Lepisosteus oculatus: one gene and its partners. The protein of the gene in region 4 interacts with the protein of the main gene of each other region in a pairwise test. Links are inferred from orthologs where the notes say so. Each region holds a gene or a part of one and is shown on either strand. Other genes may lie near its edges.

Region 1 (7,073 bases), on a different chromosome or scaffold from region 4:
TTGGTTAATATACACAATCCATTCACAATTATGGCCCGAACTGAAAAACTTAAAAAGAGTTTGAATCCAGTCAGGAAGAAGGATTTGAAAATCGGAATAATTCTATTTGTTCCCACAACATAAAACAACTCGGCTATTTCTCTACATTAAGTAAGAATCCGCAAATAATAGGTTTTATGCGAGTGAGATGGAAAAAAAAACATGATGCTGTCTTTTTCTTTAAATAAAGTGTTTTCTTCAACATTAAATGCTGATTGACCAGACAGGGCTGCAGAATCCCTACACTGGCATGTGTGCCAAACACTTTTATCCTGAGCTTAACATTTTGTGTTGCCCCCCCATGACTCCAAGGCAAGTAAAGAAAAATAAGTAGGAAAGGGTCTCAGCATTATATCTATATACACATATACTGAATATGCAGTAGACATTCTACATCTGTAAATGTATGCTTTCACCCATGTTGACCACGTTTTCTGCAAGGAAGGAGTACCTGAGCAGAAGACTGTGAAGCGCTGATAATATCCAGTTTACAGTCCTTTTTTCACTAGGTCATATGCCAGGTTTTAGAGACAGTTTTCATATAACACAGGAAGGTGCAGGCATCAAGTGTAATCCAGAGAAAAGCCAAGCTCTCTGTAGTGATTGTCATATTCTGGTGATTCTTTTGCCAACCAATGTGATTATAACACTGGAAGATACTGGCACTTTCGTTTATTTTGCACTGTCAGTGAAGTACTTTTGACAATCCCTCAGACTCGGACAGTTAAGCAGGTATATGAAAGAAAATACATCTCTGGTGTGAAGTAGCTCTAAATTTTATCAAGCAAGATCTGAGGAATTCTCTCAGAGTTTCTGAAAAGTCTCGGGATGGATGTTAAAGTTATTCATGTTATGTTCCTATCACCACCCATGTCAGCTGCTAGACAAGACGTACGCAGAGAAAGGGCCTGAGAAATGTTCAAACTGCCATACACCTGGATTGCCAGATCTATTTCTGGAACAACCTCCACACTTTTTTCTTCTTTTGTAGTTTTTTTCTGAAGTACAAAATAAGAGCTACCACAAGGGAAGCTGAGAAAAATAGAGTTGTCAAAGTTTTGGTTGTGGGACTTTTGAATATTTTAATACTTTCTAAAAGGTTCCTAACACATTTTGCACCTTTTTGTAGAAAAACACCCTGGCGTGTCCTGGCATGTTGCAGCTATAAATACACATACCTGCTGTTCTACAGCCAAATAAAAGCAACACAAATGGAAGGTTTTGACATCTGATCTTGAATTTATTAAATAATGGTACATTAAAATAGTACTGACTTTTTGTTAGGCTTTTCTCAGGACAATGTGGTCCATTCAGGAGGACCCAACATGGTGGTCTTAAAATCTTAGACTTGGGGTCTTTTCTGCCCCCTTATCTGAGCAGGTGTGTCAGACTACAGACAGCAAAATAAATCACACTGGCTGACAGGTCTGTCAGCACGTGTTGGACCATTTGTCACAAGCATTTACCCAGACAAGGCCTAAACTGGAAAGTAATTTTCATGTGATCTCCCAGTAATAATAATAATAATAATAATAATAATAAACTTTATTTTATATAGCACCTTTAAAGGGTAGGTTCTCAAAGACAGTATTCTCAGTATATCAACATAAGTTTCGATTTTACTTTGCTTGTAATTACGTGGAAAATGAAGCAAAATCGGTCTCATCTTGATTGCAATCACACGCCCTGAAAAGTTTGTGTTCCCCACAAATGACAGACGAAAAGTCACGTTTTGACAGCACAAGTTATTTATCTCCGTGTTAAAAAAAAAACAGCTCTCCATAATCAACTTCACGGATTGCCGCTCCCACAGCGCGCACACAACATGCGGACACCCGCACGGCCTGGGCTTCGTTTAAACGCTCAACCCAACTTCCCAAACTTCAGTTCAGACGTTGTTTTGAACGGATCTCTCCTCGTAAAACCCAGATGGGATAACAGAGCTTCGCGCGAACTAATTCAGACACGTCGCGGAGTGGCGTGACAGCTTATGCTCGCTCAGGTGTTACTAGCCTCTCCTCAAACTGGCACGACCCCCAGACTCGGCAGATGAGGGCTAAACACCAGCGAAGTCTCGCCGCAAAGTTATACTCCAGTTAAAAGGCATCCGCGTTCATCGGCTAAACCACCACAACGCTGCCCACTCCACCGACCTCATCGAAAAAACGGAAGCAACTCTAATGTGCAAAGACACGAATTCCACAGCAGCTGCAGCCTCCCGGATGGAAGCGTGGATTTCCAGTTACTTTGATCCACCCCCCCCTCCTATTTTCTCGATTAGAATTGTCGATCATCAGCGCTTTAATCGTTTATTGCGGGTTTTCAACCACCCTCCAGGGCTGCCCTTACATATCCTAACAGCGACTTCAAATGTCAAGCGATAGAAAACAAATCAAACACACACACAGCGAAATACTGACCGGCCGCGAAGTGAAGCGGGGTGGATTTTCTCCCGGCCATGTCCTTGGCGTTCACGTTCCCCGAGTCCACCAGCCTCTTGACCCGGGACACATCCCCGTTGCGGCAGGCCTCAAACAGCTCCCTAAACGCCCCCCCGCCGCCGCCGCCGCTACCTCCCGGACTTGCAGTGCCCGAGTCCGGGCTGGAGCCGCCGCTGCTGCTGCTGCTGCTGCCCCCGCCGGTGGTTGTCGTCGTGGAGCCGCCGCCGCCGCCGCCGCTGCTGCTAGCAGTACTGCTGCTGCTGCTAAGGGCCGGAGCGGGGAGATCGGGGGAGGCCGGCGTGATCTCCGCTTCCCCGCTGCTGTCCTGGTCGGCGCCAACCGGGACCGTGGCTGCAGCCCCTGCGGGTGCAGGAGCAAGAGGTGAACCTGGGGGAGTCGGGGAGAGAGAGGAGCTCCGCGGAGGGGACGACAGGCTCTGTTGCTGCTGATGAGACGAGCGACGAGACGCCGCCATTTTCACAACACAGGAGTCCCTCTGGCAACAAAAACAGCGCCGCTCACTTCCGGGAAACAAGCAAATGCGTGCTTCCGGACGTGGACAGCCAATGATCGCAGAAGCAAAACAACTTAACAAAGGACAGACGATCCCGTAGCGCAAATATATGCTGTACGGACTTTATTGGAGCCGGGGCAGAAGTGAAACTCAGTAGAAAATGAGGAGAATAACACGCATTATGTACATACATCGAAATAAAAGTACCCTTGAACACTACTCCAATTTATTTTGACAAATTAAAACTTTGCAACGAAGATAAACACAACAAATAATGTAAAAAAAAGTCAATTGGTACAAATGTTTCGCCTCGTTTTCTGCGCAAATAAACACACTTTGTTGAATAGTTAAAGCCATAGCATCCAAAATTAACAGTTACCATATGTAATCCAAAAATCTGGTTAGACAGCTCTTGATCGAACTCAGATTCCTGACATATTATGGTCTTCTTGAAATTTTCAATGTGTTCCTTCAAGGGTTCCCTTCTAAAGGTGTTCTATGGTGTATTTTGAAATAAACACGACAGAGTGCAGCAGAATCACAGTGAAACATTAAACCCAGATGGATAATATTTTTGCCATGGCAGAGAAAATTAAAAACCACATCCTTGTGGTACATGTACATCTTGGAACCCATGCAGTATTACTGGACAGATTTATCATGGTAATAAGAAAAACTGAGGTTTTAGTGGATAACAATTGAGGGGCAGCAATAGAGTACTAGCTGGAAGATTGTGGATTTGATTTTCTTATGTAGACTCTAAGTACCCCATATGAATGGACACAAGCATGGCTGGAGTTACTTGGGCTAGTGTCATATACAACAAAGTCATCTAATCTTAGTCCATTTAACACCACGAAATCTGAGATGAGCTCAAACATGATGAGCCACAAGCCTCCAGGATAGCTTTTAACAACGGAGGATACAGAAATAGAAATGAGTATTTGCTAGTCTCTATGAGCCTGTCAACTCACCTGCACCCAGGAAAATCATGGATCCAGTATATCATCTGCCCATGCTTCTACTTCCATACTCTACTGTGTGATTAACTGTAACAGATTCACAATCGGTTCTTTGTATTACCTTTTTTACCCAATTTTATCACTTCAACATCTACAATGCTAACTTACAGTAAGTTTCTCCTGCATTTCTGGATTTTGCTGGTTGTCTTAAATTAGAAAGACCATCCATGGAGTCAGTCTTATTTTGCTCTTAATGTTGGGAAGGTCTTAATCAAAGCTCATCTCAGCATACTCCAACCCCCACCCCCACCTCCTCCTTCACTGTAGCATTTATTGTGGAAACCAAAATGTTTCTTAACTACTTGGTCTCCTGTACATGACGACTAATCAACACATTTGCTTGTGGACTCTTTATAAAGCCATCTATCTTAAGATTAAAATAATGCAAAAATCGAATAATGTGTCAGCTTTATCCCTATGCAATTTACTTTTCTATGTTTAATGAAAACCTGACACTGGAGATATTAAATAGAAACAAATGCTGCTAATTAATTTCATTGTGTTTTTTTTTTCACAAATGGCAACAATAAACATCACTCATTGTCATAGTAATTACTTCCAGTGCTCTTATTCCTCTTCTAAAGCATGTTGTGCATATAATTAATATGTTTTGAAATGCACTCATACATAATTACATCATCTTGGTAAGGAACCAGGGAGTGTCCGCCATAAGCAACAAAAATTACTGACATAGCATCTTCTTAAAAAACTGACATGAATTTAATCAACTTTTAATTGTAAACATAGCATCAATTATGACAAAAAAACATTTTGCAGCAGGTTGACTGCCACAACATTGATAAGTTAATTTTTCTGATTAACAGTGGGTCACAGGCTACCAGTGTGTGTGGCCCCTGCTGGAAAGAATTCAAGCTTAAAATCTTGACATGTTACATTGCCTGTGTAAATCCTGGTCAAGCATGGGTCAGATCACTTGTCTCTGAGCTCTAAAATGGCACACATCATCCCAGTTCATCCCACTAATGCTCCATAGGGCTCAAGGTTTGGAAGCAGGACATTGTTGACACCACTGTCGCATACTCAGAGAAAGCTGTTACACAAGCAACAGGAGGACTCACTTTGGCTGTCTGGAATGTTATCACAGCTGGATGAGTCCACAGGAGGAGCAACAAGCGATGCCCCAGAACTTCATCAGAGAAGTAGTGTGCAGTTGGGATGTGTTATAAGGGGATTGCTGTAGCGACCGGACACTCTTGCCCAGACCATCATATTTGGATCTTCCTGTTGATCGATCTGTTGTACACAGCGCTTGGCATGACACTCTGCACATCCCTACTACGTTCGCAGAAATCTATCAGGGGGGGCTACACAAAACCCTGATTCATTGTTACGGAGGATTTGGCATCACTGCCTTCATGTCCACATGAATTCATTTAGTCCAGCTTCCAACATATTGATTGCATGAAGGCATTGTTCCCTTGATAAAAGATCCTCTTAATATTGGTTCTTTTCTGTGGTTTTCTCTTTCGATTTTTTACAAGGTTTGACATTAAAACCACCTCATCACCTGTGTCCAATTGACTATCTCACTAATTAGGTGATTTAGTGATTATACAACCGTTGAAGTCACTTAAGTGTATTACAGTCTCAGAAGTATCAATTAGTCAAAAAGATGGCAAGAACATTTAATTAATATCCAATATTTATATACTTTATTTTTCAGTAATATGTTTGTTTTGATGCTCTGTACAAGAGTTTGTAATATTGATGATCCCTATAAAACCAATTGTTGGTTTTGCATCTAAGTCAGGTGTGTAAGAGAAAAGTTAAAGAAAATGACTAAACTGAGTAAAAAAATAACAAAACATTTACCTATCTTTGCAATACAAAGTGCAAACCAGTACCAAACAGGTCAATTTTTTACTTTCCATTGGTCTGTTAATTTAACCCATAAACAACATGCCGTCCATCTTTAAAATGAGACATTAAACTGAGGTCCTGACTCTCAGTGCTCATTAAAGATCCCTGGGCATTTCTCAATAAGATTAGGGAGTTATTCGGTGTCCCAGGCCAAATTTCCCCCCTCTGGCTTTACCGTGGCCTCCAAATTGTATGATTGGCTTGCACTTGCCCTGGGATGGACTGGAGAGCCGTCCAGGGTGTCCAGGGTGTACCCTGCCTTGCATTTGTTGCAGTCACGATTGTAGTTTGTCCCACTTAAGGGCTCTCCGGCTCTTTCACATTTGAGTTGATTTTGTGCACCTGCTCCCAGTTCCTGCCTCCCTACTTAAGCCAGACGCTCACTCTGTTCCGGGCTCTGCATTGGTTTCCAGTACCAGTGGAGTATGGGACCTGGAGCGCCTGGTCCTGTTTCCCCTTTTTCCCCCCGACCCTCCGCCAGATGGTATAAAGCGGTTTGGCGAATGACATGACATGACATGAGATGACAACATGCCATTCAACTTAATCTATGTCTCCAACACACATGACACTACTGTCATTAAAGAAAGAAGCTCCATGCAGTCTTCTTTGTATTACCCAGAAGCCTCTTTTATCTGCTATTCTAAAATAAGCTGTGTTAACACAGGTCAATTTGGAAATAAAATAAGACATTTGCCTAATTCTGTGAAGCCCGATTCACTCAGCCCACACAGTTCACTGGGGCTCTCTGTGATTTGAAGAAAGCTGTGTGAGCTGAAAATCCATTATTTAACATTGCAGAACTACTGTTTGACTTGAACAGAGACTACGAATAGCATTGTTCAGATCAGGGAAAATAATACCTGTATTCATTCTAGTTTAATGTCTTGCCGTGACATCCGCTAAATCATTTTATGTAAAGCAAACAAAAAGAGAACCCAATTGGAATGTTAACACAGAGTACCTAGTTGTGGTAAATCCTAATATACAATATTTATAGGATAATCCTAACTGACGTAAATTACACTACACAGTAGCAAATCACTTACCCTTTCAGATCTTCACATTTGTTTGACCAGAGCTCTATAAAGTCTTATACACTGGCTTTGAAAATAATTTAATTGTTGTTCATTTGGTTGTTTTTCTTATGATAGAGAATTCATTGCATGTTCAGAA
Region 2 (7,825 bases), on a different chromosome or scaffold from region 4:
CAGTTGTATTAATTCTATTGCACCCATAAAAAAAATAAAACTACTTACTACATAACTAAAATATGTTGGTGTGTAAAAGCTGTCATGAATCAATAACTTGATTAACCTGTCTGAATTCTTCACTCTGTCATGTCATGTAAGTAGAATTCAAACTAAAATTAAAAGCAACACAATACTCCCATTGATAGAGCATGTTAAACAGAAATTGGTAGGTTTCATATAAGTGGACCAAATAAAGAATAAAAGAAACCTTCTTCTTACTTGGTCTGAAACTTTTATATGTTGGAAAACCACACCTTTGCGCCAACTTTGGCCTACTTTGACAAAGCTGTAACACACTGATATAACACTGCCCTCATTTTCTGCAAAAACAGCGTTATTATAGGATTTATTTGATTAAACTCAGTTTGGCGTTTTCTCATATAAATAATTTGTTTGTTTGTTTGTTTGTTTTTCCAGCTGGCTCTACTTTTCTGTTCTTAGTTACTCTGTAAGAAATTGCCACGAGAATGAAAACACACCTTTGAACTTAAACGGGTATACAACAGGTTCTATGGTACAGCAAAACGTAAGCTCTTTATTGAAAAACCCTGACTTGGCCAGTATTACATCACTAGCTATCAGAGAGACTGACAACATCAGCACCATGTATCCAAACTGAATTAAAAACAACAGCACACAAATGCTACAGTACGAATTTAGTTTTAAAAAAGTGCCATTTTTACCTGCATAATACGAATAGGGTTAGCTAAGGTTTATAAAGGCTATCCTGTGGCTTGTGTCTAAGTTTCAGCTTGGGGGGTTAGAGGGTATACAGTCACCATAGTGAAACCAGAATCTCTCAGTCAAGGAACAGCCCAAAGTGCAAATGGTGTTCAATTGTCTGGTGGTTTCAGACAGATTATTTGACTTCATGGTTTAGATGTCACTCCAAAGAGCAGATGTCTAATGGATTTAATGATTAATCCAGATTTTAATGTTTTAACATCTCCATTGCATGTGCAGAATAAAAAAACACCCTCAAAAGGAAGGTTTATGCTAGGAAAGGATACAAACATATTTGATGAGGGTGATGGGTAATTTGAAGACACTCCCTTTTTCTGTTTAATCCTCTCCAGGACCTACAATCACTTTGTCAACAGGAAATCTAAATTATTTAACTATATCTACCAAAACATTTTAGGAACTACAATAACAAGAGACAAGAGAAGATTAGGGTGGAAAATACAGATACTGTATATGGTTACATTCATGTGCTCACTCTCAATAATAAATTATCGATGTATTCCATATTTGTATCATATTGAATTATACTAATAAAACGCAACAGGATGGATAAACTTAAATAATATATTTAATAAGTATAAAGAACTGGACTGCTACACGATTATAAATTTTAAGGTGACAGTTTCGTTACGGTTTTACAATGTGCAAAAGCATGGGTTGATACTAATCCTCTATATTTAAATGTATCACTCCCTGAATGAACCGTTTAACAGTTTAACTTTTAAATTACCATACTTATACCTACACATCACTTGCTTATGTATGTGTACACTGATCCAATGTGTACGTGTGTACAGAAAGGCAAATAAAGACAGAAATGGCTGCATACATACGTACATGCACAATATACAGAATGAACGGGGATAGACTACATGTAAGTATTCGGCAGCAACATGCTTGTTTGCGTGTATGTGGCATGTTTTTCTCATTCAGTCACTCCCTGTTTATAGGCTATAAAAATCTAAGATCAGCCAAGATTGTGCACACCGACACGAAAGAAAACATACGTTAAAACGCACCTATACCAGCTAATATAACTATACATTCCGAGATCCTATTCCTGTTTAATCCACCTCTCTCACAAAACGAAATAATCTTTCTCTCCCAGGAGTGTTGGGAACCCAGTTCCTTCAACCCGGTACAATACATAACGTGAGCTATTGAGGCCGAAGTGATGATCGTTCGTGTGTTTTCTGATTTCCTTTACTCAGTGTCAATACAGGGGTCAATACATGCTCAGGCGTACACAATGTATAATTAACATTTCGCCTTCACAGGATGCTGCAGAATCATTTCCTTTCAGTTATGTGTGATAACAGAAAAAAAATAACCCATTACCTATTTTGAAAAACGCGTCTGCATCCGAATCATTCAGTCCTTCATCGGGTGCTTCGGCTGAATTCATCTTCTTCTTTCTCCCGTGGATTTCAGAAAGGAAAATGTAACTCGAAGTATATCCAGTGATGTGTCTCACAGAATCAGTGCACGATCCCCTCCATATTCTTGTGTTCCTGGTCGCAGCTGTTCGCTTTCCAATCGTGGGTTTCCGTCCGTGTTATTACAAAGAACAGCGCTGCATTTCTCTCTATTGTTCAGAATTCACCCTCCTCTTTCTAGCAGCTCCGGCGCCACAAAAGCAATCCACTGCACATGTGACACATAACGAGGATGCAATAAATTGTTCTGCAAATTATGTTGCAGCTATGTGCAGTGTTTAGTTTATGCGTTTGCACATTTTCGAGATTATTTTGTATATATCCTTACAATTAGCTGCACAGAGTAAGGAATCAGCGTATGGTTGCTTTAGAACTGTACCTTGGCAGTATATTGTAGTGATGTCATACAAATCTGCATAATGTAAGTGACTGGTGCAGAGCAAGGGGTTTTGATCTTGAAATACAGTAGTTACAACGTCGGATTTCTGTTTTTCAATATGCTGTTTCTGGTGCCGAGACACAGCCTGAGTAGGTAGAGATAACATATCACCCTGTGTCCAAATATATGTAAATAAACATGTACCTACATTTTGCTAATTCCGAAAGCAACCTTATCTAAACAAACCTCATTTGTTCTCAAAGGCAGTACGTCTGTTCGTGTGTGGAGAAAGCGACTAAAATAAGTGTACGTTTCTGACAATGAGTGACTTTCCGCACCCTTTTTCACCCCTCCTTCTCACTACCCCGTCTCCTCCTTTTTCCCGTATTAATAACCAATATATTCGTAGGCAGGTCTAGCAGCATACAGCTCCCAGTTTATGCAACTAGAAATATTTGACCATCTAGTGTATAGTCACAGAAAGTCCAATTACTTCGACAACCAGAGTTGCAGTACCTGAATTTCACGCGATATTTTTGCCTAAAGAACTTGCTCCTGCCAGCTTCGGTTCGGGGCTCTTTGTGTTGCACTCCTGTTTTGACCTCATCATGCCCTCAGGAATGCACGGTATGTGTACAGTTATTTTAATAGCCATGCAGATGAGTCATAGAAGATACCATGTTTGGCACACATATTTTTTTCATTTTGTGTGTGCAGGGTGAGTCACCCGATTCATTCATCAATGAGCGGCCAGTTCATATCCCCCAAATGTCATTAAATGTCTGGGTGTTTACACACAACCGACTTGGGTGGTAAAAATGATTACAGGCTGTGCAATTCTGTATATTCCCGGAATCCAGATATAGCGACGTTATACTAGTTACAGCCCTAACCATCTGTCATGGGAAAGGCACGCTGTATCTGAAAATCGAAGCTCCTTTTTTATCAGAAACGAAGGCAATTTTGCTATCTTCAACCAGAGTTCTGGTCATCTACCGCCTCCAAGCGACAACAAATTGTCAAGAACATTGTAAATTTGGGGGGAAAAAGACCTACAACATGTCCATAGACCCGTTTCTTACTCCATTCTTCGTTGAAAGAATGTAATGTCATAGAATAAGCTAACATTACTAAGCATCGCTGACCTTAACGGATGCACAATTCTTTAATTTTGTTTCAGTAACGTACTTGCAATCTAAAAATATTTTTTTAAATCGTGGAGGCCTTAAACTGTTACACATACTGTATACTGTAGTAACAAATAAGTCAATTGGTTAACAGACAACGCAGTTGGGATATAGCGTGCCAAGCTCTTACTGTGTCCAACATTCTTTTTTTTCTACAGATTTAAACTCTCAATTGTATTGTGAAGGATTCTTTTAAAGGTAGGCATCTTGGAAAAACAATAGTGGTGGAATAGTTATAATTTATAGTAAATGAGCTCATCTCACAGGTATGTAAAAAGTTATGTATGCGGCTTCACCGAGCAGTGGCCGGCTTAACTATTGTCAACATGTATCTTACAATAATGTGCCTACATGTGTCAACTAGCACTGAAAAATGTAGGGTTTGAATAAACGTTGAAGTGGTAAGAATTCACGAGGAATAACGACATCCAATAATGATTTCATTTGTGAATATTAAGTATTTTGTAGTATAATACGTTTCGGCATTAAACTGCTCGGTTTTGAGATAGCCCCCTGCCCATAGGATGAGGATTGGAGTTCACCAAGGGGTAGGTTGTAAAAATGGATAGAGGAGGCCTGAGACAAAATGCGAAAAAGAGGTGTTTACTTGTGATACAGATTATTCATGATTATGATTTAGAACAACTGGGTGAAATTGGCTTGTTTGCCATTATCCCCGCCAAACGTCAGTAAAGAACCTCTTCTATTTAAAACGTCTATTATACAAAATATTTAGTATAAAGACTTTATGCCAATAGTTGTGGTTCCAACCGTATTTTAATTTCACAAGGTAGCAGCTGTGACTCATACAAGGATAAAACATGAGAAGTTCTGTAAAGCTAAGCCACTGAATAGAATAAGTGAAACAAGTATGGACAAGGAGAAAAAAAACTTAAAGCGAAGAAAATAGCAGGTTATAAAGATTTTGTGGTGACTCAAAATTTGTAGGGCCATAAATTACAGGAAAATCGAGTCCATTGTCGTTTTAAAAATAGAGATAATTTGCCCCCTAGTGGTATATTTTATACACGACTAGTACTGCAGAAGATTTCTCGTTACTCCAAGATTACCACATACTGTATGAGTTGTAAGATATAACGGCTCCCTGCCATAAAAAGTTGATAAAAATATATAATTTGGAAACATTCTTTATAAGCAAACACATTACACATAGAAACACCAAATTTATTAAAAGAATAGTAACGCTTTTGAAAAAAGGCTTTCATTGGTGTTGTAGACTTAGACATTAACAATATTACATTTTTGGAACGGTCATATCGTACACAGTTAATTATGTTTGGTCTCTACCAATTCATATTATTTTTAAAGCTATACTTTGAATACTATTTGTAAGAGAAAAGAGAACTTCTGTCCGTTTGGTTTGTAACAAAAGGAAAAGGAGTAGCAAAGAGCTTGTTAGCCAACAGATTCATGTTATCCTAGAAAGGCTCCGTAGAACTGAACCTATTGCAGAAGGTGACGTCACCCTCTTGAAGCCTAGATAGTCTACAATTCTCTTATAGTAGAAAAGGCGGTTTTCCGTTTTTCTGGAGAATAGTGCGTTGCTACCGATTAACGCGGAAATAAGAATGGAATAATTAGGAACGTTACAATGTAAAATAATGTTTTAAATTACTTTGCCATGATGAAACGGTACGGTATGTACAGTATTCACAGCTTACTTAAGAAATCCTGTCTCCCATCTCGTCACAGCTACATCACAATACACACAGTACCGAATAAAATATCCTTGTTAAACATCAGGTCAAATCATCTGACAGCTGCACACCTGAACACTCTTCTCAAGTTTCTAATTTTTGACGACACTATCAACTAGAGCGACTGGGCATTGTTCAGAAAAGTCAAGGTCTAGAGGTCTGGAGACGATTGTATTTATTCTAACTTTTACAGACTGATATACTCTAAATGCATTATTTAAGTACTTTTTTATGGTGAAGGTGGTCTGCATCGATTTAAGGACTTATTCATATGATAGACTCTGTCGCCTGTACATACCGGTAAACTTGTGGGGATTCACGATAAAAGGCGATGTTTTGATTTTTTAAACTGAAAAATGTCTTTAGAGCACTAAACACACTGTAATCGGAATGATGAAAACGTAGCCCAGTCCGTGCTGCACTTACTGTTTAGAAAACGGACAGAAAAACAGGTTTGAAAAGAACAAGACACGCAGTTCATTTAATGAGATGTCTATAGACCTGATTAAGAAATCGCGCTGTGATAGTTTTATGTACAGTGTAGTCTGTATAAAATACATTATTATTTGTATTGGCGCATTTTCTATATATTAAGTGAAAAGGAACGAGATGCAGAAAGAGATATTGGAACACGTATATTAATTTGACTATTTCTGGTTTGTTCTGAAATGCATGGCAATTCATTAATTAAAAAAATGTTTCTTGGTGAAAGATTGATAGTTTTGATTTCGCGATTATGTACTTTGTATTGCCTTGAAAAGGCTGGTCTGACACCTTCCACTGTTTGTAGCAATTTTAGACTCTTAGCATCTGTTTTTGTTACGTTGGTTTTCTTCTGATGAATATGCATTTCATCTTGATCTTTTAAGATTGGGCACTGAAATGCCTCTTTCTGGAAAGCAAGTCATCATCCCACCAGAGCTACCAGACATTCTGAAGCAGTTTACTAAAGCTGCTATCAGAACACAGCCAGCCGATCTGCTAGAGTGGTCTTCTATGTAAGTTCTTCCATTATTGAAATACTGCACTCAAAACAGCTTGGAATCAAATATTGCAGTATAGATTCTCCTCTTGTGAAGTGGGGATCTCATAGGTCTAATGAAAAGCCTGCAACTTACAGTAGGTAGCAGTGATAGCTTAAGTGTTTCTTCAATATTTTTCTCTCAAAAAATACTCCATAGCTGTACAAGCATTAGGTTTTATTAACTTACTCCAAGAGGAGCATATCTGCTTTATAGAGAGGTGTTTTTCCTTTGTAGTATGCTTATTAGACTTTTACATTTAAATTATATTATTGTAAACACAGTACTTAGGAACCAAGAATATATAACTTTTATTAACTGTTGTGTGAGATTATACCCAGTCTTATCTTAAAAATGGCAGATTAAATAGAATAATGTTTCACTAATGATGTTTATGTGTTTCTGAAATCTCCTCTTCTGGGATAAACCTGATTTCATTAATGGCACAGTGAACGTGCTCTTATGATCAGTTTATCAAATAGCTGTGTGAGAAGAAAAAAATATATTTACACAGTTGCTGCTTTATGTAGGGGATATTTAATCAAATGAAAAGGAAAACAAAGAGAGGAACTGACACTACTGATTAGTTGAGAGAAGATGCAACATTAATAACAGAAAACCTGGTAGCAGCAGTGCTGAGATTTGGCCCAGCAAATAGTCATGGTTCCCTCAAAGTTAATTTTCTAATTTCAGTAGTGGAATTACAGTATTTGGTTCATGCTCAGGACATAATATTTATATTTTGAAGGCCATGTACTACGCTTTAGGCAATTGCTGAACTGAAATTAGTACTTTCCATAAGCTGTACAGTATATCATTTCCACAAAAAAGTGAACTAAAGATTTGATGTCTTTTAACAGACATTATAAGCATACAGTATGTTCATTTTAACTTCCCCTTATAACTACATGACTGAAGTAGTGTTAGGGCTAGTTTCTATCAGGCTACATGCAAGTATGACAGAATTTCTCCTGCCAGAATTGCTCCACTTTATGGCAAGTACCACATTACTGAAAATAGACATCCTCCCTTAGAGAAGTCTTAGAGGAGGCTGAAAATAGTTGTTCCATTTAAACAAATTTATGTTAAAAAGATAAATGTGCAAAATGTGTTCAATGGAAGAACAGCCTTGCAGTGGATCCATCATCATTAGCAAATTATGTACATACAGTACATCACAGTTGATCCTTTAATTGTACTTAAAAAATCCTTATTGGATATAATAAAAGGTACAAACTAGAGCTGGCCATTAAGCCTATCTAGCCTGTTTGGTGGTTAGTAGCTAATTGATCCAATG
Region 3 (7,272 bases), on a different chromosome or scaffold from region 4:
AATGTTCAAGCTCCCAAACAAACATTCTATTCCCCCTAAAATTCATAGAACACTATTTCATATAAACATAGTAGCAACAAAGATGTTGTATTGAAAGCACTTTAACAGAATTCAACTCAATGCAAGCTTCAATCAGGATCATATATGAAAGCACTAAATAGGAGATTTACAAATATTGTCTAGTTACTGTGTATTCGAAGATGTTGCAGATAAATCATATCTCTGTTCTTGTCTTTCTAACCATTTCATCAAAGACAAATAACATGACTGAGTGTTGAAAATATTTATTGCCATTCTGAATGTACAGAACAAATGTTTCTCCTAACAAAACCAGTCAGCGTTTATCCATCCACCCATTTTCTAACTGCTTCATCCAATTCAGGGTTGCCTATCCTGTAAGCAATGGGCACAAGGCAGGATACACCCTGGATGGGACACCAGCCCATTGCTGGGCACACGCAGACATGCACATACTCACACTAAGAGCAATATTCCCAGAAGCCAATTAACCTACCAGTATGTCTTTGGACACTGGGAGGAAACATGCAAACACTGGGAGAACATACAAACTTGACACAGATAGCACCCCAGGTCATTAATCAAACCAGCACTGTGAGGCAGCAATGCTAATGACTGTACTACTATGCTTCCTGGCAGCAATTATTATGATATGATATTTAAGACAAAAAGAATGATGACATCTTGTACATCAGATACATGGTATCTGAAAAGCTCTATCTTCAGTTAACAAAAGTTCCAACAGTTTCTTCTTAGTACAAAGCCACAAATGATAGCATTCAGTAGTTTAACATTATTCCTTACAAGCTCAATGCAATTTCAGAAGCATAGTTTTGAATTCTGTTGCTTTGCTGTCTTATCCTAAGCACGCAGATCAAATACCATGAAAACTCTAAAAATGCCAAGTATCATTTGCCTTGCCAAACAAAAATTATATTATTACCACCTATTGCTGGTCTTCAGGACAGAAAAGCGGAAATTGGTCTGGGGTCTAAAATGATTGATGGGGCTTTTTAAATTCCACCAGCTCACGTATATACACCTCAGTGGTGCTTCACAGTGGCAGCCTTTTGCAACTTGAACCAATGCTGCCACCCAGTGGTTGAAGAAGAGTTTATATAGGTTATATAGACAGAGATCAAGTTCAAGTTTGTCATTCCAGCCATATATAAGTATACAGTGTATACAGTATACAAAATATCATTCCTCCTGGTCCACGGTGCAATTACAGATAAGACACTGACATGGACAATGTAGACAGGACTAGCAATGCTAATATTAATACATACGATTGTGCAAACTAAGACAGTGGCCATGTACACAGGTTATATACATGGTGTAATTTAACTGTTGCAGAATAGTATAAAACAATACATCACACAATATACACTAAACACTGGGGGGATTTTAAACCTTGTTTCTGGAATTGGAGTGGGTGCAAGTAAGTACCCAGGTGTTGAGAAGCCTAACAGCCTGTGGGAAAAAGCTGTTACAGAATCTGGTGGAGCGAGCCCGTATACTGCAATATCTTCTTCCAGATGGTAGGAGAGCAAAGAATTTATGGGAGGGGTGGGGGTGGGGGGGGTCATCTACTATACTGGAAGCCTTGTGCATACAGTGTTTGTGAAAGATGACATGAATGGAAGAAAGGGATGCTCCAATAATGTTTCCAGCTGCTCATATTTTCTCAGCCACAGACCATTTCAACAAGTCTCCTTTGGATTTCCAGTTTTTAAAAGGCGCATTTATAAAGTGTAAACTAGTTAAAGTGTATCTCCTCAAGAAGCCTTTGGAAAGCAGCCATTTTCAGTTAAGACCAAAATGTATCGTTCCTTTCTAACCATAATTGTATTTCCAAATCCAAACAATGAGTGCAGGTTAGATAGAGGATTTATTCTTAGATTACAACTCTAAACTTTTCAGGACAAACCCAGTCAAATTCAGAATCTTGGGTCTGTGTAAGTGTATAAAAATAAATGGAGAAAGTATCATGCAGAACCCACAAGATCAGCACGTACTGTATGACGGAATACTGTTCAATTCATCAGGAGTTTTATTGATTTGTTCCAGCTCGGCTAACACAGTGGTTAGTACCACTGCCACAGCTCCAGGATCCTTAACTTCATTCCATTTGAAATCCAGTTGGAGGCTCTTGCCTGCGTGAAGTTTGTTTTGTTCTCCCCACCTTCACAGAGGGTTTCATCAACAACCTCTTACCCTCCCAACCACATATAGAGTAAACCCAGCATTATCCATTTCATTAACAAAACGCTCTCTTCATTACTCTGCCCTGTCAGAATTGCTGTGGACTTGTTCCGTGGAAAACTTAGGTTCTGAGTGTCAGTGAGACATGACGCCTCTCTTGGTTGTACTTCTGTGGAAAGAAATTTCCACAATGCATCATGCTGCACAAAGCGATAAGTTTGCTTAATACGAACAGTGCAAAATACAAATCCTTTTATATTCCGTGAAGAACTCACATTGTTATGATTTTGCACTCCTCATTAGTAGAGATTTGCAGGCTGACTTCAGCAGGAACCGTCTTCGACAAGAAGGCAGTGTTTCAGGTGTGAGACGAGAAAACAACACTCACAATAGAAAATCAATTTTAATGCTCAATAAACACAAAATTTCATTTAAAGAAGAAATAAAGGGTTTTTAATTGGAATAAGACTTCCAATTAAATTGGACAGACAGAGACGCAGTTGTCAAGTCAACCTTCATTATGAGTATAACAAAATGTGTATAATGCAAGGTTGTATAAGACCAGCTGCAATCAACACTTAACAAAAACTATAACACAGGCCAACTTTTGATTTCCCATATTATCGGTGGCACTCTGGCTAAGGATCTGCACCTGTGGCTGGAAGGTTGCTGGTTTAAATTCCTAAAGAGGGAGACTCCAGATGGCAGCACTGATGAGCACAAAGGAGGAAGAAGTTTTTAACCTGGACCAAATGAAGCATCTCCCAGAAGCCTTAGCTGGAAAAAACAGGAAAGGATGACTCAGCATGAGATGAGCCAAGGTTCCAACTAAATAAAGTACAAAACAAGATTTAAAGACACTGGATTAAGCAGGACTTTCATTTAAAAAAAAGGAAGAGTAGCAGCTTCTGGTCCACAGTCTCCACATTTTAGCATAATCTTAAACAACTCAAGTCCCTGCCCTTAGCTGCTTGCAAGAAATGGCTAGATGAGATTCTCAAACAACCAGACAAAGCTAGATGTACTGAATAGTCTCCTCTTGGTTGCAACCTTTCTTATGCTCTTAAAGTGGAAAAGAAAAAAAACAATAAAAAAGGCTAACAGGGGTTTTTAAAAAATTGAAAAAAGTCAAAAGACAAAACACACACTGGTGAGTTCTATCTGCAGTGATAAATTTTAGGATAACCAAAATAACAATAATACAAGAAAAAAGGAGGAGTGATAACAAACAATAATAACAAATGTGATATCTGTTCAGGCACGTGTTGTGTAGTAGATTTTTTGTTTCCCTCTAGTTTTGCCAATGTGTCTAGACCAGGGTTCTTTAATCCTGGTTCTGCAGGCTGACAAATGAAGAGCTGGGACAAGCTGGTAATGAATGAACTGGTCACATCAAATATTCATCCATCAATTGTCTCACTGCTGTATCCAATACAGGGTTTCTGGACACTATCTGGAAAACAAGGGGTGTAAGTCAGGATGCCCCCTGAGCGGGATGCAAGTCCATCTCAAGGTACACACAGACCCATGTGCACGTTCACACTCACACCAGGGCCAGTTTTCCCAGAATCCGGTTAGTCTATCAGTATGTCTTTGGTCTGTGGGAGGAAAATGGAGCACCCCAGAGGAAATTCACATGAACCTGGCGAGAACATACAGTACAAATTCCACACAGATAGCTCCCCAAGTCTGGAATTGAACCCAGGGTCCCAACACTGTGAGGCAGCAATACAAACCACTGTGCCACTGAGCCACACAGCAATTGATGATGAATTTTTCAGACTAAAATAAAAAATAAATATATAAAAAAAATGCCATGTATAATTTGCTTACCAACAAGAATTGTTGGTAAGCAGATGTATTCTAATGCAAACATTCCTTCTGAAAGAAGTCATACATGATATGTAGATCAACTGTTAATCCACATGCAACAGAAGACCCCAGAAAATATGTTTTAGTGCTGTATGTCCTCTTTGCCTTCCTATCCGCTACACTGCGCTGCACTGTAATCACGTGGCACGTCATGTGACTGGCAGGGCCGTGGGTAACCTTTCACCTGTGGAGAGTGTATTCTATGTAGCCAGCGATCGGCACCTGTCAAAATATACTGTACTATCAGTAAAAAAGATCTACACAGCGTGATTTGTGAGTATTAGCGCCTCGATTACTTGATCCGTTTTGTATGTACGACGGATGATTGCTTTTCTCGCCTGGATCGGGTTATTTTCTGTTGTGTGATTTCTGCATTGTGTAGTAACAGATCCAGTTCAGCGAAAGAACACTAAGGTTTTCCTTATCGGTTTGATTAATTTTTCAGGTATTCTGATGCTGAAACTAGACCGATTATGTCTCTTTAATTACTGCGTTTGCAACACAGTGTTTGTTTCTGTTACACGATTAACCAATAACATTTTGTAAATGAAACTTGATTAAATCCCATCAAGAGTTTGTCTTTGTCATATATATTTAATGTTACTATAGACCCAAAACATTAATGATTATATGCTTTTAAACATGCCACGCGAAATGCTTCGTGAGGGTTGATAATAGATCTTTAGATTGTTTTTGTGGTTTTAGTGAGTGAGTATAAAATCATCTAAAAGTATAGTGATTAAAACAAAACGCTTAAGAAACAGCGGATCCCAAGACATCCGTGAACACGTCCTTATTGTAATCGACAGTCAAGGACTACTTACTTGTCTTGTTCGTCTCCATTTTTTAAGCCTTCAAGCCTTATTTCACACAGAGAATAACCATGTTGTGTTGAGGGTTACAGAAGATTTGCACGACTCTTTAAGGAGGCGATATTGTGAAGTATTCACCAAGTGAAACAAATCCAATCGGCCACCCCATGCCTCTCGGTAACTGACCGAAGAGTACGAATCAAGCCTCCTGCTACCTCCTTCAAATTGTGCTCGTTTGGAGCAGCCGTCCTGGCCTTTCGTGATTATAACGGTTTTGTGTAGCGCTTTTCGCTAAATGGTTTTTCTTTTTGCATTTTCAAATTTTAAAACAGTATTGACATGCTGTTTTGAGTTAAAACACTGAACACTTCAGCTGATAGAATAAACATTAAATTGTTTTAATTTCTTTGGGTGTGCCTACACGCCTGCGTTTCCCGTCAAAAGAAGGCCATTAAGAAGCCATTGAGAGGTGTGGACCTTACAAGCGTTTCATTATGAGAAACTCAGCTGAGGCTTTTAACATCTGTACGACCTTTTCTGTTCTAGTATACTGTTCCCCGCTGCTGTTAGTGAATTTAGTATATTGCACCCTTTTAATATGTGCTGAAGCCTGCAGCTCTGATTTCTGATTGCAGGCCCAAGGGATTAAATATAACAGGGACAATGTTAAATTAAGAGCAGCTGTCTCTTTTTTCTAGTCTGTGATGAAGATAAGGAAGACTTTATAGTGCTATTAAATCAAGCAGATTAGGAGAAAACAGACCAAGAGTTGTGTGGTGTATTTCTAAACCATTGCCTTGATTTGTTTTTAATCTGGAATTGCCAATTAGTGTTTATAATACAACATCCCAATTTTTAATTACCAATTAAAAAAAAACTTGGCTATTGGCAACAAATCCTTTACCAATCCTTACTCATTAATTGAGTGAACTTCAGGCTCCACAGTGCCTGACACAGTCAGAATTAGTTTTTTTCAGGTATCCATAGAACTTCTCAAACTTCTGTGTCCTGTATGTTTAAACTATTTTAATACTCTATATTAAAGAGTTCTTGTTGTCATTTATTTTCATGGTAAACAGCTCAGTGAAATGTTACTTTTGTGTATAAACCATTTCTGTATCATGTTTTAAGAGTTTCACATTTTTGCTAAAACAATTATTTACTTCGATCTCATTATTTACTTTTAGTTGGATACAGCAGTACTGAAAAAATATTAATACTGAATTATTGCAGTGGTAGTGAAATGTCTGTGATTCTAGTTACATCATAGTCACAAGCTGAAAACTAACTATTTGTATTTACTGTTAAAAACATGCTTTCTTGACTGGTTTATCCATTTAAGGTTTCCTGATATAATTCCATAATGGAAGTGCAATGCAGGAAGTAAATGACTCACACTCCCACTTGGAGAACAATTGGAAAACTCCCAATTGGAAAATGTAATGCATAGAAGCATTTGTTTCTGTTTTAATACTTAATGTTGCAAAAATGAAACTGCTGTCTAAGCAGGACAGTGCTGTCTGATTGTTGAATGCCTTATTGAATTCTGATTTTAAAGCATTTTTACACTGTCCCAACACAAGTTCTTCATTCGACCTGTCCTGTGCTTATCACCCACACTGTAAAATATTGAATATTTTAAAAGTAAGAAAATCATGAATGCAGTAGCTCATAAAGAAAATGTAGGTTATTTTTACTGAATGTTTTGATGTTTTTTTAGGTTCTATGTGGGTGGCTTATGGCCATGGAAGACCTAAAGGCTAAAGTTTTCCTCCGGCTTGGAGCACTATGAGGCAGCCATATTGCTCTGGGAGAGCCTCTCTCTGGCACCAGCAGTTCCGTTTCTCCACAGCTTTTGTCTACCAGCAGCCCGCATTTCAAAAATGGCATCCAGCTACCCACCTCCGTTCGAGGAACAGGGGGAGGTGAGGGAAGGCTTTCTCTGTCCGCTGTGCCTGAAGGACCTGCAGTCCTTCTACCAGCTCCAGGCACACTATGAGGACGAGCACTCTGGGGAAGACAGGGACGTCAAGGGACAGATAAAAAGTAAGAGCTAGCTTTAAAACCTTATGTTAGGTTAGGCTAGGAGCTCTATCACCCTGCAACTCATAACTGACAACTCACTGAAGCTGAGCAGGTGTAAGTCTGGCCAGTACCTGGATGGGAGACCTCCTGGGAAAAACTAAGGTTGCTGCTGGAAGTGGTGTAAGTGGGACCAGTAAGGGGTGCTTACCCTACAGTGTGTGTGGCTCCTAATTCCCCATTATAGTGATGGGGACACTGTAAAAAAATAAATAAAAAAGGCACTGTCCTTTGGATGAGATGTAAAACCATGTTCCCGACACTCTGTGTGATTAAAAATCTC
Region 4 (6,934 bases):
GAAAACATCCTGTTAAGTCATGTGGAAACACAAAGCTATCACAAGCACGTTGCCTGTAGGCATAAATAAATAAATGAGAAAATTCAAAATCTTTTCTAAGAAGAAGTGCAACAGAAAAGGGGTATTTTAAGAAAGTAAGAATTTAACAAGAAATAAGGAAGTCCAATACCAGTAACTGAAACAAAAGCGATTCTCCTCCATAATCATTTTTAATCTCTAGGCTGCTCAGGCAACAAAACATGACTAATGGCCTTTGAACAGAAATAAAAATGTCAAAACTAGTAAGATACAGCAGACGACAGTGACGAAAGGCCTTCATAATACAGTTTTTACATTTCTTTGCTTTTTAAAAAGCATAAATGAAAGACAGACTAAGATTAATGGCAAACCGATACAGCATAAAACGCAAATAAACAAATCATTTTTTTTTCCTGTGGAGGAATTATTCTACATCACCTTTAATTTCGTTTTTTAACCAGCAGAAAACCATTCATAGCTTCTAAGAACAATATTACAGACTATTTTAATGTTTCTGTTTCTGTTTTCTGTAATAAAGGCACAACATCACAACTTGAGGTACAGAGTACTCTATTTGACTTCTGTTGTCTCTCCACAATATTTTTTTTCTCTATTAACAATAATCTCCCTTCAGATAATTCCAAAATACAGAATGCTATGTAAAACTGCCTCTATCGGATTTTCTGCCTGTGAAAATGCAGACCCCAAAACTGTAAGATTACAAAGCTAAAAAAACTGATAAAGAGAATTCAAAATGTACAGAATTCAAATTCTTTTTGTCAGATTAATGTGAAGTGTCTACTTATGCTACATACTGCAGATTCACTGCTCAGACTCATACAGTATGTATGTCAGCGAGAACTTGAAAAACAAGCTCCACACATGATCAAACTTCAAAGACTTTATTAACGGTCATCTGAAAAACCTTGTTTTTCGTGTGCTTGCTTTATGTGCTCACTAGTTTCAGGTTTACTAGAAATATGGCTTCCCTTGTTGGAAAATCGTGTCATTCAGGCCAATGACGTTTGGATTAATATAGACTGGTTTTATGTTAAGAGACGACTTTATGCATAAATAAATACACAAACAATTCTGACATTAGCACCGGGGCCTTCGTTTGTTTTTAAACTAGCAAGTAGCATCTATGTTTATTCAACAACAATAGAAAACATCTCTGATCTTGAAGACGGGGGTAAACTTTTCAGGCTGTCTTGGAAAAGCGCACACAGTATCTGCATCAGGGTTGAGGACTCGAGTTCCCTGTGATATGACGAGTTGGGAAAGCTGATTGGACTGAACGTCGGACACGCAGCTTTGCTGTGCTGTAACATCTCAAATTCAACTTTGTCCTCAGATCTGCGTTCTGTGCGTGCGTGTCATTCAGGAGACACGTCTAAAATGCTTGCTTGCCCGTACTACAGTTAAAAACTGTAGAAATGCGACGATCACAGATTAATTCACAATTCTAATGTAAATCCCTGCAGTGTGAATTTTCAGATTATTAAAAAAAAAGTTAGCCTAACGTCCGATCATCTACAAATTTGAATTAAACAGCAGTCATGGGAAATTTCATTTTTTTAACCAGGGCTAGATGTGTTACTTTAAAACCTAAGGGCAGTCAGAGGTTTTATAAACGCATTGCGTGACTTCCTAAAATATCATATATTGTGTTACATGTTTCAGCATTTCAAAAAACATTTTGGGTCATGCCGTTTTTGTGCTCATCACGCGCGATTAATTTCCCCAAAAAAACTCCTTGCAAACTTGCAGTTCACAGAACTCGGCTGACGTTTCGCTCAAAAGTTGGCCGCAGTGCAATTTCTTGTAACGAATCTGGCTCAGGCGGGTAGTGGTAACTGTGATCACAAAACAGATGCAAAAATAAATAAACATTTGGATACAACTGAAACCAACCAACACTATGAATAGATGTGAAAATGTTTTCAGGGGCGTTTGTGTTTATCAATCGAACTCGCAACATTGTTCAAATCCGAGTTTTTACAGCTTCAAAAACCGGTGCGGACATTGAATTGTAAAACAAAACTACAGTATTTTACAGTTATCGAACCGCAAACTATTAACGTTCAAAGAAGATATAACATAAGAGAAGAACATGCATAAAACACCGATGATGTCAATCGTGTTTAATAAAGCGCAACGCAGTTGAACAGATTTAGACCTCGCAACGCTTTATAGTAAATAACGCCAATAATTACCTGGCCTGAACCCAGCATGGTGCCGGTGGCTGACGTGCGTGATGCTGTCAGTGTCAGAGATCGGCATGGAGGGGACTTCGCCCCCTACCTTCACCATCCCGGTAAACATTTTTTTTGCAAGGAGCAAAAAAACAAAACAAAACAACAAAAGCTGTTATGTTTCCAGAAACGATGAACGGGTGAAAACGGACATCTTTCCAGTCTGCCTAGGAATTCCCTTCTCTGGCGGAGCTCTGCAGAAAGAAAATCACACTGAAGTCATTTCCGCTCGGGAAAGTGTTTCCCCTAAAAATAAAATTCCAAGACTCGCACCGCTTCCTGCGCGTTTTGTGTCCCCTGTGTGGCCTGCGTTAAAAGAAGACGCCGGCGTGTCTTTAGTGTGTTTCGTCTTCAGCCTGCAGCTCACTAACAGCACTGCCCTTAAACCAGGCAAAATCCCAGGCAGCGCTTGATGACAATTCCTGCCACTTCCCAGTGGGAAGAATAACATTCGCCAGTTTGATTTTGTTTTTACGGAGCGCGGCGCAATCTTCCAAGGGTTACGCAGAAAAAAAAGGCTCGGCGCTTTCTGTTCCGTGCTAACATTTTCTGCCGTCGTATTCCAGATACAGCCCGCGGCGCTTTATGCCGTTATGCGCTCCATTGTGAAGCCCAGGAGTTTCCTCTGGCCGTGAGATGAAATCCGAAACCGCACGCAGTGCCGGAGCCGCCTCCTTCGGCTCTGGGGTGACTGGGAAGCGCTAGCTGGATGTGCAAACGAGTTAAACAACGAAATTATGTTGGGACGCCACTTAAATGGTCACCATTCATTCTGAATATCAAAAGCGGGTGTTTTTTTCCCGTTAAAGACTAAACTGTATTGCATTTGGAAAATGTGTCAAATGGTGTCGATGGACATGAAGGCGGTGGTCTTCCTGTTGGGCAGGAATTTCCAATCCCCCCTATGATGTGTGTCCACCCCCCTTCTAAGATAGTTTGGCCTACAAAAACATCCCACAGGACTTTAAACAATCTCTCCTCGATTTGCGAACCCTTATTTCTCGGTGCACAGCCCCCAGAAGGTGATGGGTTTCCGATGAACAGATCCAGGCGAGACGGACGTTGTGTCAGACACCCTCAGCGAGCTTTGCTTTCCATCTGCCAGGCGGTCCAGGCGTTTCCATTTCCGACGTCACACCTGTGCGCAGGTAGTTCTGAAACACAGAATCTGGTACAGAGTTGATTCTAATTAAGACATGAGAGGTTTTCAAAAGTCCCACTGGACCTTTTCACGTCCATCCACCCATGTTCTAGCCCCTTGCTCCTGCTGAGGGTTGCTGTGATGACTGGCCGAGCAGGGCAGCCCAGAATTTCCTTTCCTTTCCCCGGCAACAGTCTCCAAGTCCTCTTGCGGGACTCTCAGGAGCTCCCAGACCAGCTGAGAGAACCCTCCCCCCCCAGCCTGTCCTGGGTCCACCCTGGGTCCTCACCAGATGCCCAGCCCTTCTCAACTGACTCCTCTCGATCCAGAGGAGCAGCAACTCCACTCCAACGTCCTCAACTCTGTGAAACAGACTAAAGTAACTGTTTTTTAAATACTCCATTGCCCCCAAATGGAAAACTGAAATCGACTAGACTGCAACTGTTCATTTACAGTATATAGCTGACCCTTTTATCCAAAGGTACTGTGGAGATGGCCTTGTGTGTAAGGACCCTTATATAATTAATAATAATATCTTCTTAGACTTATATAGCGCTCTTCTGGACACTCCACTCAAAGTGCTTTACAGGTAATGGGGATCCCCTCCATCACCACCAATGTGCAGCCCCACCTGGATGATGACAGCAGCCATAGTGCACCAGAACACTCACCACACACCAGCTCTCAGTGGGGAGGAGAGCAGAGTAATGAAGCCAGTTCAGAGATGGGGGTTATTAGGAGGCCATGATTGATACGGGCCAATGGGAAATTTATCCAGGATACACCCCTACTCTTTTCGAGAAGCACCCTGGGATTTTTAATGACCACAGAGAGTCATGACCTTGGTTTTACGTCTCATCCAAAGGACGGAGCCTTTTTACAGTATAGTGTCCCCGTCACTACACTGGGGCATTAGGACCCACACAGGCTGCAGGGTGAGTGCTCCCTGCTGGCCCTACTAACACCTCTTCCAGCGGCAGCCTCAGCTTCTCCCAGGAGGGCTCCTATGCCGGTTACTGACCAGGCTCACACCTGCTGAGCTCCACTGGGTTGCCAGTTGTGAGTTACAGTATACAGTATGAGCAAGACTTCAGTGTTTGCAAGTTGCAGAGGTTAGGCGCTCAAGTGCTGGTGGCAGAGCAGGTGCTCAGTGCTCAGACATGAGAGGTATGTGCTGCCCTGTGATGATGCACTTCACACATGTAAGCAGAATCGAGTTTTACAAATAAGAATGACCTGATAAAAGCAGAGGGAAAGCATAAGAAATTGTTCCCAAAGTGTTGCCTTGGGTTTGATCATTTCTAGTGAAACACAAACTGCAAAACCCCTTCCTCTCTTAAGAATTAAAATAATTTGATAAGGTAAAAACATGTGAAAGCCTAACTTATAATGTTTTTTCTTACCTTTTGCTACCAAACACCACCACATATCTTAGTATATTAATAGTATATCAATGTATCAGTACTGCAGTTAACAGAGCCCCTCTAACAGGAGATGAAAAGACATTGCTTGTGCAGCGCTGTCTCTAATGTGCTCTTCCAGGCAGCCAGAGCCAAAAGGAATGCCCGGGCCATTTTGTGGCGAAACGGAGCTTTGCTTGGAAGTCTACTGTATGGTCGCAGTGTCGGGGTGGGGGACGTATCCACTCCGCCGAACTGTAATTCAAGTTCTTTCATGCTGCTTCTAAACAGAGGTGCACTTGTTCCCCGTCTCCTCTCCTGTCTCGGTAGACATGAACTCTCTGTGAGAGAGCATCGCCTTTTAAACCAAGCCGGGTGAGAATGGCATGTAGGCATTTACCCTTTCAGCTGCAGAATAAATGAAGGCGTTACACACTGGCCCCCAGCTGGCCAAGCTTGAAACTGGAAATGAGATCTAGTTTCAAAATGATAAAAAATACACCGGGTGCCAAAGAAACTGCATTAGAGGTTATGAATATGCCATGCTTTGCCACGTTTTCAGTTGACATTCTGGGAGATGCAAAACTGTACCGCGGCTGTGAAGTCGTGTCCCTTTCGGTTGTTCATTGCGTCGCAAGGAACAGAATATAATTAAATTAAATGAGGCGTTTAACTCTTTCTTTCAGTCTGGTCAAGTGCAGGTTCATACACACATTTGTTTCAATCCGAGTTTATAAAGACACGTTAAGGGCAAGGGTGGTGGAGGGATCACAGTTTCACCGTGCGTGCCTTTTGCTCTTTACAAAAATGTCAGTGTCTGTTAAAGACAAAATATACCCAGCAGCGCTATCGAAGGTTCATTTTTCGCCACTGAGGAAGATGTGTCTCCCCGCAGATAACCAGCAAAAGTGAAAAAGTTCAACCGTAGCTCGGCATTGCCACCTAGTGGGAAGATGCTGAACTGCAGTTATTTTTAATAAATCGGGTTTATGTTCACTACTACTGCAGTTGCACATAATAATAATAATAATAATAATAATAATAATAATAATTGCTTACACTTATATAGCAATTTTCTGGACACTCCACTCAAAGCGTTTTACAGGTAATGGGGACTCCCCTCCACCACCACCAATGTGCAGCCCCACCTGGATGATGCGACAGCAGCCATAGTGCACCAGAACGCTCCCCACACATCAGCTACCAGTGGGGAGGAGAGCAGAGTAATGTAGCCAATTCATAGAGGGGGATTATTAGGAGGCCATGGTTGGTAAAGGCCAATTGGAAATTTGGCCAGGACGCTGGGGTTAGACCCCTACTCTTTTTGAGAAACACCCTGGGATTTTTAATGACCACAGAGAGTCTGGACCTCGGTTTTACGTCTCATCCAGCACCTGTTTACAGTATAGTGTCCCCGTCACTATACTGGGGCATTAGGACCCACATAGACCACAGGGTGAGCGCCCCCTGCTGGCCCCACTAACACCTCTTCCAGCAGCAACCTTAGTTTTTCCCAGGAGGTCTCCCATCCAGGTACTGACCAGGCTCAAACACATGTTTATTGCTATGGCTAGGTTAACCCATTCATTAGCTACCTTATTTGCTAAGCATTAAGCTTTTGCTCTGAGTTTGGAGTATTGCATGGTGCTGTTTTTAAGCAAAGGTTTGAACGTTTATATTACACATACAGCATGATATTTTGTGAGGCATAGATATTTGATCTGTGCCTGACCTTGTGAATTGGCAAGTGAATGGGCGCTAGTTTTTAATCTAACTCACCGCATTTTTTAAGGAAACACTTGTGACTATCATACACATGGAAGCTTACTGCTGTATTCACTTGTAAGAGAGAAAGCTGCTCCTTGACATTTTGGCAATTAGAGAATAAAGTCAGTCAAGATCAGCAACAAACTAAAATGGTTACACCGAAGAGCAGACCATTCAACTCACTCACTGCCTTTGGCTGTAAGTAGCTCATTGATGCAAGTATCCCATCCTGCTGTTTCTTGAAGGCTCCCTAGGAACATGGCTTCAACACAGCAAACCAGCATGTTCAGACACCCACAAAAAGGGCTTCTTGTTCCAAGTTCTATGACACCTTCTTTCCCGTGACCAGTAAC

What was found.
Region 1: the proteins of disc1 (region 4) and poly [ADP-ribose] polymerase tankyrase-1 interact in binary tests that used the Homo sapiens proteins (3 or more experiments, as listed by UniProt). The link is inferred for Lepisosteus oculatus from reciprocal best matches to the Homo sapiens genes DISC1 and TNKS.
Region 2: the proteins of disc1 (region 4) and kalrna interact in a two-hybrid assay, tested with the Homo sapiens proteins (2 studies listed by BioGRID and IntAct). The link is inferred for Lepisosteus oculatus from reciprocal best matches to the Homo sapiens genes DISC1 and KALRN.
Region 3: the proteins of disc1 (region 4) and rabenosyn-5 interact in a two-hybrid assay, tested with the Homo sapiens proteins (2 studies listed by BioGRID and IntAct). The link is inferred for Lepisosteus oculatus from reciprocal best matches to the Homo sapiens genes DISC1 and RBSN.

The regions. Positions count from the first base shown.
Region 1 is NC_090698.1:18,734,548-18,741,620, forward strand, and holds the start of poly [ADP-ribose] polymerase tankyrase-1, read right to left. Parts: upstream 3,004-7,073; 5' UTR 2,956-3,003; coding exon 2,460-2,955; intron 1-2,459.
Region 2 is NC_090707.1:11,601,658-11,609,482, forward strand, and holds the start of kalrna (kalirin), read right to left. Parts: upstream 3,013-7,825; 5' UTR 2,192-3,012; coding exon 2,125-2,191; intron 1-2,124. Other genes in the region: ropporin-1-like, read left to right, coding at 6,389-6,504. UniProt on the Homo sapiens protein: Promotes the exchange of GDP by GTP. Activates specific Rho GTPase family members, thereby inducing various signaling mechanisms that regulate neuronal shape, growth, and plasticity, through their effects on the actin cytoskeleton.
Region 3 is NC_090699.1:55,419,646-55,426,917, reverse strand, and holds the start of rabenosyn-5, read left to right. Parts: upstream 1-4,262; 5' UTR 4,263-4,368; intron 4,369-6,627; 5' UTR 6,628-6,790; coding exon 6,791-6,953; intron 6,954-7,272. UniProt on the Homo sapiens protein: Rab4/Rab5 effector protein acting in early endocytic membrane fusion and membrane trafficking of recycling endosomes. Required for endosome fusion either homotypically or with clathrin coated vesicles.
Region 4 is NC_090712.1:5,086,876-5,093,809, reverse strand, and holds the start of disc1 (disrupted in schizophrenia 1 protein), read right to left. Parts: upstream 3,009-6,934; 5' UTR 2,344-3,008; coding exon 2,235-2,343; intron 1-2,234. UniProt on the Homo sapiens protein: Involved in the regulation of multiple aspects of embryonic and adult neurogenesis. Required for neural progenitor proliferation in the ventrical/subventrical zone during embryonic brain development and in the adult dentate gyrus of the hippocampus.